Linked DNA regions of Mus musculus. The protein of the gene in region 1 interacts with the protein of each later gene in a pairwise test. Links are inferred from orthologs where the notes say so. Each region holds a gene or a part of one and is shown in the gene's direction. Other genes may lie near its edges. The genes, in order: Nedd9, Nfkbia and Rfx6.

What was found.
Region 2: the proteins of Nedd9 (region 1) and Nfkbia interact in binary tests that used the Homo sapiens proteins (3 or more experiments, as listed by UniProt). The two-hybrid records come from large-scale screens. The link is inferred for Mus musculus from reciprocal best matches to the Homo sapiens genes NEDD9 and NFKBIA.
Region 3: the proteins of Nedd9 (region 1) and Rfx6 interact in binary tests that used the Homo sapiens proteins (3 or more experiments, as listed by UniProt). The two-hybrid records come from large-scale screens. The link is inferred for Mus musculus from reciprocal best matches to the Homo sapiens genes NEDD9 and RFX6.

The regions. Positions count from the first base shown.
Region 1 is NC_000079.6:41,338,498-41,342,033, reverse strand, and holds part of Nedd9 (enhancer of filamentation 1), read left to right. Parts: intron 1-3,013; coding exon 3,014-3,457; intron 3,458-3,536. UniProt on the Homo sapiens protein: Scaffolding protein which plays a central coordinating role for tyrosine-kinase-based signaling related to cell adhesion. As a focal adhesion protein, plays a role in embryonic fibroblast migration.
Region 2 is NC_000078.6:55,489,813-55,494,100, reverse strand, and holds the start of Nfkbia (NF-kappa-B inhibitor alpha), read left to right. Parts: upstream 1-1,453; 5' UTR 1,454-1,574; coding exon 1,575-1,801; intron 1,802-2,322; coding exon 2,323-2,431; intron 2,432-2,770; coding exon 2,771-2,981; intron 2,982-3,241; coding exon 3,242-3,330; intron 3,331-3,434; coding exon 3,435-3,695; intron 3,696-4,131; coding exon 4,132-4,179; 3' UTR 4,180-4,288. UniProt on the Homo sapiens protein: Inhibits the activity of dimeric NF-kappa-B/REL complexes by trapping REL (RELA/p65 and NFKB1/p50) dimers in the cytoplasm by masking their nuclear localization signals.
Region 3 is NC_000076.6:51,676,396-51,680,562, forward strand, and holds the start of Rfx6 (DNA-binding protein RFX6), read left to right. Parts: upstream 1-1,364; 5' UTR 1,365-1,414; coding exon 1,415-1,634; intron 1,635-1,889; coding exon 1,890-2,046; intron 2,047-4,167. UniProt on the Homo sapiens protein: Transcription factor required to direct islet cell differentiation during endocrine pancreas development. Specifically required for the differentiation of 4 of the 5 islet cell types and for the production of insulin.

The DNA.
Region 1 (3,536 bases):
ATTAAAGAACTCAATCTCACTTAGTCAAGGCTGATGTGTACCGGGGTATGAATGGATGTCAGCCTGGCCTGGGGGTGGGGGTGGAGCAGTGTGAGGTCCTTGCTCCCCAACCGCTGGGTCAAGTTCTTTCTAAATCCCATTTTCTCTGTCTGTTGTGAGAAGACCGGAGAGATGTTGTGGGCAAGGAGGCAGGAGAATTCACCAGATGTGCCCACTTTTGAATGGTTGAGGGGACTCTGGGGCTATCCTAGGAACTTCCCTTAGGCTCCTGTGCAGGCATGAGCCTGCAGCTAAACAGGCGGTGGGAAGGTCACTGGGACAGAAGACAAAACATATCTAGCAGACTCACCCGGGGATTTGTATCTGTGTCTAATCAAGCATGGCGCAACACTCCACTCAGTACCTCACGGTGTTCCAGACCCTGGAAGAGGCCCAACAGCGAACGCCTCCAGCTGATTGCGGTCGATTGAGCTGCAGTCCTTTGCCCGTCTGCTGTCTTCTCTTGCTTCTCTTTCTTTTCTTTGAAGCCTGTTTGATTGCATAGCTATCAGTCTTCTGGTCCCATAGGGTTGCCCCCAACTTGATCACTTCTGATTCTGTGTAGGGACTTCCTTTGCTACCATCCCCTGTTCTTGAATGGGCCCAGACCAGAGTCAGCTCTTCCATCTAAGCTCTGAAATCGGAATCCTACGGAGTCCCTTCCCTGAGGTCATTTGATACAAAAAGGACCAGAGTCTTGTCCTCTTTAAACCTATGACCCCTTTTTACAGTGATAGAACACTCAAAGGATGGGGAGAAACAGAGATCTAAGCATCCTGGCACATTCTTTAATGGCTCTAAAAACTAAGCAAGCATGTGGCCTGACTTTATCGTTGTATTTGTGAGTTTTTCAGCGTTAGAAGGAATCCAGTGTTTCCTAGTATACAACTGCTAAGTAAAACCTTCACCTAACACAAAAGCTCCGAATTCCCTTCTAGCTAATCTCAAACAGATCGCATCTACCAGTGATTTCAGCTTTATCCTAAGTTCCCTGGGGGACGGCTATTTGTGGCTCTAATCTCTCTTCCTAAAATTAGGTATTCATGATAAAAGATGATTGGCTAGCTGCAGAGGTATGTACCTGTAGTCCCAGCACTTAGGAGGCTGAGGCAGGAGGATTTCTTATGTCCAGCCTGCCGGGGCAGTATAGCAAGTGTGTGTGTGTGTGTGTGTGTGTGTGTGTGTATACATATATATGTTTAAAGTGTATGTCTTTAAAGTATGTATGCTTAAAGAAAAAGAAGACTTGGGAGTAGTTGACCAAGGCAAGACACAATGAAAACATATACCATGGTTTTGTTGTTGCTTCGGGGGGGGGGGGTTGCAGGAGGGGGGGGATGAGGAAGGAAAGTTAATTGGGTAGTGTGATATGAGAAGGATCTAAGAAAACTTGGAAAAATATGAGCAAAATATATAGTATGAAAGAAATTTAAAATAATTTAAAATGTAATGAAAACAAAATAAATTTTGTATTATCACTTCAAAAAACACAAAGCAGTGAGTGGAACTGGACTTCCTCCAGCCTCGCGACCAGAAGCAGACCCCTCCTCTCATACACAGCCCCTCCCCAGAAGAGTGCGCCTCACACTGCGAGGCCTGTGGTTTCAGGCAGAGTCCAGGGGCAGGAGATGATTAATGCATGTCCGTCTTAAAGAAATGAAAAGCATGAGATTGGAAGATGAAGTCCACATTTCTGGAGAGGAAAGCGGAGGCAAGAGTCCAAAGAAAAGCAGCCCCGAAGTCCACAAATATGCGATGGTGTGAAATAAAGTCCCAAGCATACTCCGGCCAAGCGGCAGTCCTTCGCTCCGCAAATGACTCCTCGCCACAGTGACATTAAGTGCATCCAGACGCTCGAGTGACACATGAGAGGGGTCACATTTAGTTTTTCCGATGCTTGCGCTGGGTTCCCTATGTTCCCCCCACTTGTCTGCACTCTGGGAAAGGGGCAGGCGTGCGGGACTGGCTGCCAGTATGCCGAGAATCTTCAGAGCCTTTGAAAGCCTTCCAGGAATGTCAGCGCAGACTGCCTGCCCACTCTCTGCTCAATGCCTACTTTAGCTGTCTGCCGAGGACTAAATGTGCCAGACAGGCCTTCATACAAAGACAGAGAGTGTTCTGAGTCCATGAAAGGAAGGCACAGCCTTTCAGATGTGAATGGCGAGATTTAAGTAGGTGACTACGTGGTGGCCTACTGGGAAAGGAAGGGCCCTCAGAGAGGTGCAAGAGAGACCCAGCCTATGAACCAATGTATTCCTGCCGAGTACCTCTCCACGGTGGGATCTGTCTAGACAGACTGCTATCACACTGTGTCCCTGCTTGATTACTGTAGCCTATCCCTATGCTTTCGCACGTAGATTCTTCCTGCATCCAAGGCCTCCTTAATCATAAAAGATATGGTAGGCTCTGCCAAGGCACAATTATGTGTATGTACTTCTAGTTACATTGCAATGATGAATAAAATTTCTGTTTGTAGTATGTGTCATTTAGAATTTTCTTTGACTCATTTGGGGGCGGGGTCTAGAATATATAGAAGCATTGTGGCGTATGAGCAGCTTTTTCTTTTCTTTTTTCTTTTTTAGTATTGAGGGCAGCTCACTGTGGCGCCTGAACAGCTTGGAACATTCTTCCCGTCCAGCTGACTTTGAAAAGTTAGAAAAATGCTTTGCCCAGTGACCCCTTCCTAACTCGTTAGCAATGCCAGCCCAGCTCCTTGGCAAAGCACCCAGCACTGGAGGGAAATCTCTTCTGTTTTGTGCTTTTTGGAGGAGTCCATCTGATGTCACTGGTGGAAGACACAGTGTGGCTGTGGCTATCTTTTGTCTGAACCCTCTAAGTTCCTTCTGACAGGCTAGTGTTCATATTTCTTCTCTATTTCCAGGAACTGTGCCTGTCCCTAAAAGTGTGGGTTGTATAAGTGCTAAAAAGACAGACCTAACACTCTAACCCTGTTCCTCTCTTCTTCCCTTCCCAGAATCTTATGGCAAGGGCCTTGTATGACAACGTCCCTGAGTGTGCTGAGGAGCTGGCCTTCCGCAAGGGAGACATCTTAACTGTCATAGAGCAGAACACAGGAGGGCTTGAGGGATGGTGGCTGTGTTCCCTCCACGGTCGCCAAGGCATTGTCCCAGGGAACCGGGTGAAGCTTCTGATTGGTCCAGTGCAAGAGACCCCCGGTCATGAGCAGCCTACTCCTGGACCTATGCATCAGACCTTTGGCCAACAGAAACTCTATCAAGTGCCAAATTCCCAGGCAGCATCTCGGGATACCATCTACCAAGTGCCACCCTCCTACCAGAATCAGGGAATTTACCAAGTACCCACTGGCCATGGCACTCCAGAACAAGATGTATATCAAGTACCACCATCAGTTCAGAGGAACATTGGCGGCACTAATGGACCCCTTCTAAGCAAAAAGGTAAGTGATGAACTAGAATGTTGTTCTTTCTTTTATGCCACTCATTGTAGTTAGAATAATAGAGGCAACCCCCCAAAAA
Region 2 (4,288 bases), on another chromosome or scaffold:
GCGTGGAATTGAGATGTCCTGCTCATGATCAATCTCACTATGTCCCACTCAATTACACTTGCAGATCCAACTTGCCACTGAGAGGAAAAGGAGAATTCGCTGAGGAAGTTTTAACTTTAACCTGGCCCTTACTGTCTGGAGGCTTTTTGGTTTTTCCTGGATTTTGAATCTTTTCCCTCAGTGTCTTCACATGCATACTCAGGGGGAGGCGCTGGAATTCCAAAGAGAGGAAAGCTGACATAAGGCTCATTAAGAAAAAGATCATTCACATCTCACCAGAAATCTATGCAGAACTAGAGAGGCCTCCTGGATCTGGTCTGACAAACTCTGATCCACGTTGCTTTAATTTTCCCTAAGTAGGGGTGGGGTGGAAGTAACATTTGTACTTTTGCCGGTTAAACTAGAGGCTCACAGGCCCAAATCCCTTTCTTGGGGGAGCAGCTACCCATAATGCCGCGGTCCCTTGGGAGCAAGGAAGCTGATAGAAGCAGCAGGTTTCAGATGGGGTCTGTGTTAGGACTATCTTGAGCCTCCTGCAGGATACCTCACAGTTACTTTTTTAGCTATGTTTGAGAGGCCAGCCTTGGCTAGGGCACTAAGTCAATTGCTCTGCTAGGCATTCACAATAAGCTCCGGCTTCATTCTCTGCAACAAGTTAACTCCGACAGCAAGAACGCAACAGTTGCGGTTGCAAGGAAACTACAACTTCTACTAAGATTAACAGCTTGCATTACTTGGGGAAAAATGTGGTTCCCATACGGAGCTAGGATTTGCCCCTCCCCCGGGGGGGGGGGCAAGATTATTGACCCCTAGGAAATAATCTAGGGGTTCTCCAAGCTCTTGGTTTTTGTTGGTGGTGGTGGTGGTTTTGTTTGTTTTAATGCCAAAGTTTTTACAGCTTCATGGAGTAGGAGTGAAGGACAGCCAAATGTCCCTGCATTGCAAAGGGCCTGGAACAGACAAAACACAGCCGGCCCCGGAACCACTCATATGTCCGTCGTCGCAGAAATTTAGGAGAAGCGAATCCCTGCACCTAGCCAGCGTTTCCACTCTTGGGTTTTCAAAAAGATCAAAAACCGGAAAAGACCTGCAAACTGGCAAATCGCTAAGAGGAACAGCCTAGCAGGTCTGCGTCCTTGGAAGCTGCGCAGCTTGGGACCCCAAACCAAAATCGCCCGGTGGGAAACCCCAGGGAAAGAAGGGTTCTTGCAGAGGGCTGGGGTTACTGAGTGCAGGCTGCAGGGAAGTACCTAGAGGGAGGGGGCCTGGTCGGGAGGACTTTCCAGCCACTCAGGGCTCATCAAAAAGTTCCCTGTGCATGACCCCAGTGGCTCATCGCAGGGAGTTTCTCCGATGAACCCCGGCCCTGGGTTTAGGCTTCTCAGTGGAGGACGAGCCAGTTCTTTTTCTAGTCTGACTGGCTTGGAAATTCCCCGCGCCTGACCCCGCCCCTGAGAAATCCCCTGCCAGCGTTTATAGGGCGCCGCGGCGGCGCTGCCGAGCCCACAACAGTCAGACCTCGCCAGCCAGCCGCCAGCAGCCTGCAGCCTGCACCCGCTCAGCCCCGCACAGCCATGTTTCAGCCAGCTGGGCACGGCCAGGACTGGGCCATGGAGGGCCCGCGGGATGGCCTCAAGAAGGAGCGCTTGGTGGACGATCGCCACGACAGCGGCCTGGACTCCATGAAGGACGAGGAGTACGAGCAAATGGTGAAGGAGCTGCGGGAGATCCGCCTGCAGCCGCAGGAGGCGCCGCTGGCCGCCGAGCCCTGGAAGCAGCAGCTCACGGAGGACGGAGACTCGTAAGTGGCGCCGGGCACCGGTGGGGGTCGCGCGGGGCCTGCAGCGCGCTCGGGGTTCTGCACGGCGAGGGCGCCGGGGTTGCGGGGCGCCGGGGCTGCGGCGGGCCGCCTGTCTTCCCCCCTCCCCCTCCTCCCCTGTCCCCGGACCCGGAGTCGCCGAGCGCAGGCCGGGGGGGGCGGGGCGGCAGCGGCGGCGAGGACGCAAAGTCCCGGCCTGGCAGCGGTGGCGCGCAGCCGCCGGGCGCCGCGCGGCCGCGAGGGGAAGTACAGGGCGTTCCGGGCGGCGGAGGGCGGGCCGGTCTGGCCGGCGCCCGCCCGGAGGGGGTGGGGCACGGAAAGTCCCTGGGCGGCTGCCAGGAACACTCAGCTCATAATAACCTCGCGGAAAACACCGCGGCCGCGGCCTCCAGAAACCCCGGCCTTGCGCAATCCCCCCTCCAACCCCACCTCCAGCCCGCGCCTCCCCCCCCCCCACGCAGTGTGCTCACCACCCCTCGGGGGGTTTCCCTGTCATCCCTCAGGTTCCTGCACTTGGCAATCATCCACGAAGAGAAGCCGCTGACCATGGAAGTCATTGGTCAGGTGAAGGGAGACCTGGCCTTCCTCAACTTCCAGAACAACCTGCAGCAGGTGCGCTGCTTGCTTGCCCCGCGGGTGCCCTCTTTGACCCCTTGGTGGAGTCAGATGTAGCACGGTCGCCCCCAAAGCGTTTCTAAATTAATAGTCACTTAGTTCTTATCTGCCTTGGCCTTTTGCATTCAAATCAGCCAACGTCTTAGAACCAGAAGAAAAATCCCTTGGGTTTAGTGAGGTCTTTATGACCCACCTAGGGCCTCCTGTTTGCCTGATCTCCTAAGAGACAAATGGGAGGATCAGATTCCATAGCGGGAGGTGTCTGGGGTTCAGGAAACTCAAGACTATGGGTTTGCTCCATGGCTTATCCCTTTCTGTTTCCTCTTCCATTTGTAGACTCCACTCCACTTGGCTGTGATCACCAACCAGCCAGGAATTGCTGAGGCACTTCTGAAAGCTGGCTGTGATCCTGAGCTCCGAGACTTTCGAGGAAATACCCCTCTACATCTTGCCTGTGAGCAGGGCTGCCTGGCCAGTGTAGCAGTCTTGACGCAGACCTGCACACCCCAGCATCTCCACTCCGTCCTGCAGGCCACCAACTACAATGGTAGGTCTGCCAGTCCATCCAAGGATGCAGAGGAGGGAGAGAGATGGGGCCACTTGAGTCTTAAACTCCGAACGTATACAAAGTTCAGACACTGTGATCTTTTTAAAAAGTTTTCTCCTCGATGCCTATATGATATTCACTCAGAACCCAGATTCTGAGTTCTTCAAAACTGATGATGTTTGTGGTTGTCCTCAAGACAATAGACATGAGTTGTGTGAGGATTGAAACACGTAGTTACAGTTTTTGTCTTCCTCCTCCAGGCCACACGTGTCTGCACCTAGCCTCTATCCACGGCTACCTGGCCATCGTGGAGCACTTGGTGACTTTGGGTGCTGATGTCAACGCTCAGGTGAGTACATCTCCCTTCCACCTAATCTCTGTTGGGCTGGCTCTGATGGTGAGCAGGTTTCCAGATGCAGCCGTAAACTAACGCCTGATTGCTTTTGGTTTCAGGAGCCCTGCAATGGCCGGACAGCCCTCCACCTTGCGGTGGACCTGCAGAATCCTGACCTGGTTTCGCTCTTGTTGAAATGTGGGGCTGATGTCAACAGGGTAACCTACCAAGGCTACTCCCCCTACCAGCTTACCTGGGGCCGCCCAAGTACCCGGATACAGCAGCAGCTGGGCCAGCTGACCCTGGAAAATCTCCAGATGCTACCCGAGAGCGAGGATGAGGAGAGCTATGACACGGAGTCAGAATTCACAGAGGATGAGGTGAGTGTTCCTCCCCTCAGCACGCTGACGGCTGTTCTAGGGCTGCTTTGGATCAGAGGGATTTCAGTTGTTTAACTTCTCAGACTCGGCTTGCAAAGCCAGGATCCCAAGAATTTGTCTCTGGTTTGTTTTAAGAGCTTACCCTTTTGGGTTGAGGAATGAGGGAATTCTAGAAATTGAACCCAGGCCTTAGCACATGGTGATAAGCACACGTTCAACCATTAAGCTCCACCCCCTCAATAGCTTAGACTTTTTTTTTTTTTAAGGAAAGAATAGGTAAGGGAAACTCCTACAGCCTGGTGCCCTTGTTCTATTTGGGTTAAGGAGAAAAAGAGCCCAAGAATAGGAGTTATTTCAGCAGCAGCTCTCCCCTTATCCCAATGTCTTGGTGAAGTTCTAGGAATTTAATATGTCTTTTTCCCCTCTCTTGTTTTAGCTGCCCTATGATGACTGTGTGTTTGGAGGCCAGCGTCTGACATTATAAGTGGAAAGTGGCAAAAAGAATGTGGACTTGTATATTTGTACAAATAGAGTTTTATTTTTCTAAAAAAAAAAAAAAAAAGAAAAAGAAAAAAAATGAGAAAGGGTATACT
Region 3 (4,167 bases), on another chromosome or scaffold:
CACAAAGAGGACTCCCATTACAGAACACCCCTGAGTGTGTCTCTGGAAAGGTAGCATACTGTACACTTGAGCACTAAAGAGAAAAGTCCTACACACGAAGCAGGCTGGGAGGCTTTCAGAGGAGTAGGCAGAGAAGACTAACAATCCTAGGTAGGGAACATTGAATGTGTGGGAAAGTGTGTGGCTACAGCCGATGTCCAGCATCCAAAGGAAGCAGGTGAGATGAGCTTGGGAGAAGTGAGGCCTTTCCCAGCAAGTGCTGCTGAAAAGGAAGCAGTCACATAAGCGCAGCTTGACCTGCCCTGGGAAAGGCTGCTCTCTCTGTTGGATTGCTGCTGTAATTGTCCCTTTAGTCAGCTGCCACTCTGGGTCTCATTTTGCTTTCTCTCTGTGGTTTCAGTTTAATGTTATTTCATGCTAAACTCAAAGGTGATGTCGCTTTCTAATCTCCCCCCAAAAGATACAGGATTAGCTGAGATGAGGCAATGGAAACCAAGGCAGGATCCCTCCTTCTCCTGGAGGGCCTGTTTGTCCAAAGAACAGAGAATAGAATAAGAAAAAAACAGCGAGTCAGCCAGGCAGTCGGATCCCAAAGCTCCACCCAGCTCCATTCTTCATAGAAAGCCCAACTTACTTCGAAACAAACCCAGGTTTTGTCATTTGGGAGTGAGATATTATTAAATTTCAGAAAATATTCGTTCCACTGCTGGGCATGAAGTGAGGAATTGTAAGTGATGCACATGCAAGTTTGAATGGTATCTTTTCCTCCAACCTCAATAGTTTAGAGGGATGTGAGACCTAAGTACCCAAAATACAGAGCAGTGTCTCTGTCTTCCAGCCACTGAAAAGGGTGCTCTTCGATCCTTGCATTATTCTGGGAATACATCTGACCCAGGCGGTGCAAAGACCAGGGAAGGGTACTCTGGGTTTTGTTCACTTCCACCTGATACTCAAGTCAAGGCTGACCAGGCAGGTGCCTCGATTAGTCTCCTGAGAATTGATGGGGAAAAGTGAAGTTGCTTGTCCCACTAGAGAAAAGAGCTGAGCTTTATAGGATCCTTCAGGAAGTTTTCAGTTGAGAAATGGTCCTGGGTCTAGAATTAGGCAAGAGAGAACAAACGAAGGGGAAAGTGCTCGGTGTGACTGACAGCCAATGTGGAAGTGAACTGGGAGCAAGCTTCTGCCCAGACCGAGCAAGACACTTGGGAAAAAGGCAGCATCGCCTCCGCCCTCCTCCACCCTGCCATCTGTGCGGTACCTGTTCACCCTGTCCCCTCTCCACCATCGGGGGCTCTGGAGCCTGCCCAGCGGCCACAGGTTCCCCAGCCCCGCCCCGCCCCGCCCCGGGGCTCTGGGCTCTACACAGAGCTCCTTCAAGCCCGGGCGGCGTGCCGAGATCCGGGCGGTGGGAAGGATGGCTAAGGTCCGGGAACTGGAGGAAGCTTTCGTGCAGGAGCAGCCTTCGCCCCAACTTCCCTCCGAGATCGCGGAGGAGTGCTGCGCGCAGCTGCTTGGCAAGGGCTTGCTGGTCTACCCTGAGGACAGTGCTTACCTGCTGGCTGAAACAGCCGCGGGCGCTCGGAGCAGCGGTGAGAAAGGCGGAGATCCCGGGCTGCAGGTGGGAGTTAAATCAGGTGAGTGCTCCACTCTCCCGGCTGCGGTGCTGAGTCCTAAGGGTGTCCAAGAATAAAAACGAAGCACTCTGAATACACATAAAGTAGGATGCTCTGTCGGAACCATTTCGTTTCAGCAGGAACACTGTTAACTATGAGGGTTTTGCTCAACTCCTTCCTTGCTCCTCCTTGGGTGCAAAGCAAGGTGGGTGTGGAGGTCTCTGGACTGATCCGCGTGTTCCCTTGTTCTTTGTCATTCCTTACACTCGCCCTCAGAAATGCAGTTAAACAACGGCAACTTTTCCTCGGAAGAAGAGGATGCGGACACCCAGGAGAGCAAGACCAAAGCAGCCGACCCACAGCTCTCTCAGAAGAAGAGCATCACGCAGATGATGAAGGATAAGAAGAAGCAGACTCAGCTCACCCTGCAGTGGTAAGCTGGTCCTGTCACCCGCACTGGCTGACGTCCACCAGCCCCTGTCTCTAAGACCCTGGCTTTCCTCAACTTGCTTCTCCTTAAAACTTCCACAAGTTTAAAAGACCCACGACAAATGCACCTGTTTTCTTGCACTGCATATGCACACAGAGACCTATTCTGACCCTGACGAAAAGCTAAAGCCACAGGTTCTTCACATGTAAGCTGTGATGAATTTTTCTGTGATTGTTTGCTGAACATAAAATATATTTCTTTGATATTTTTATGTTTTCGAGATATGATCCTTCAGAACAGCGAAAAATGGAAGGCGTTTAACTCTGTTTTAATCCATAGGAGGGCAGGTACTGTGTCAGTCAAAACAGATGGATTGAGTTAAAAGTACAAAACAGAAAAAAAAAATCACTCAAGCAGTCATGATTAAATAATTTTCAGTTTTTACAGCATAGTGCATACATGATTTAATATAGTAAAACACCACAAATTAACTTTTTGCCCCAAGTCTTTTAAAATTGAGAAATAATCAGTAGGTCTTCTACATATGAAGTGTGTTTTATAATACTTTCTGCAAACGAAAAAGATACTTAAATAAGAACGTGTCATTAAGAACAGTTGCATAATGTGAAGCATTTGGGGGACAAGATTTCCCCCCAATTCCAAGTAATAAAGACTATTTACTGGTAAGTTATATTCTCTCTCTCTCCCTCTCTCTCTCCTATATTATTATCTAAGAATTAGAAAAATAAAATCTATAAATACTTGTAAACTGCATTTTTGTTTTAAACATTAAGTTCTAATTTTTATAGCCTGACGTTCTGAACGTATATGCTTGAACCCTTTCAATGTCTGAAATAGAAAATAAATATGCCTGTAAAGTTACATTTTAATAGATAAAGTTTGCTGTCATGATTACTACTTGAATATACCCCAAAACTGTAAATAATTAAGAAATTATCTGGAATATTTAGGAAACAACTACTGTCATCAGGATATTTGGAAAATAATGTTTAATTTTGAATTTACTTTAAAGGATTTTGAGTGATTACTCTCAGGTTTTCAGTTCAAATTGAGTAATTGGAAACAATCTTTAGTGTTTCAAAATTCATACATACATATGTCTAGCTTAACTCAGAGTTTTGAAGGGAAAACAATAAATATAAAAATAACTACCCAAATAAATGGATTGTGGGTATTACATTCCTACCTTTAAACTGAAAATTTAAATAGCTGTTTCTTTCTCATAAGATTGTTCATTTTTGAAGACTATAGAGCACATTTTCCCAATCTTCTGAAGAAAATGAATGTTGTAGATTTAAAAAAAAAATACCCCAAGTTCCTTGAATTTTGAGAAATCTGTGAGGCTGTAAAATTGAGTTGGAGTGTTAAAAATTAGAACTGAAAATCAAAGTAAAAATGTGACTTATTACCTCCAGCTTTTATTGTCAGTTAGCTATTCAATTTTAGATAGGTAAATTTATTTGTTTTGAAATACTATATCCCAGTTGGTTTGGATCTTTTTAATTAAAAAAATAATTTAGTGTCTGAACCTTATGAAACAGGTCCCCTAGGTTTATTTTGTGTGCATTGAGAGTATGTATCCAGCCGGGCAGTGGTGGTGCACGCCTTTAATCCCAGCACTTGGGAAGCAGAGGCAGGTGGATTTCTGGGTTCAAGGCCAGCCTGGTCTACAGAGTGAGTTCCAGGACAGCCAGGGCTATACAGAGAAACCCTGTCTCGAAAAACAGAGAGAGAGAGAGAGAGAGAGAGAGAGAGAGAGAGAGAGAATGTATCCAAAGTCTTAAAGGATTTTCTCCAATTTTATTCTGACTGATACTGCATATTACATTGCTCTTGTGTTGTAAATAATTATGTTTTATTAAACATGAAATTGATATAAATGCATTTTAGTAAAAATAATTTACTGACATTTTTGAAAAAGGGGAAATAGAATCTAAAATCTTTGGTTTCTAGGTTGTCATTCAGATGAGTGCAACACAGATTTTATTTATTACATTACATGTAGTTGAAGTTAAGTGGAAATCTACCCAGATTTTCAAAACTTATATAGCTAGATCTATACTATAGGGTTTGGATTGTAGGTTGTGTTTAGAGACATTTATA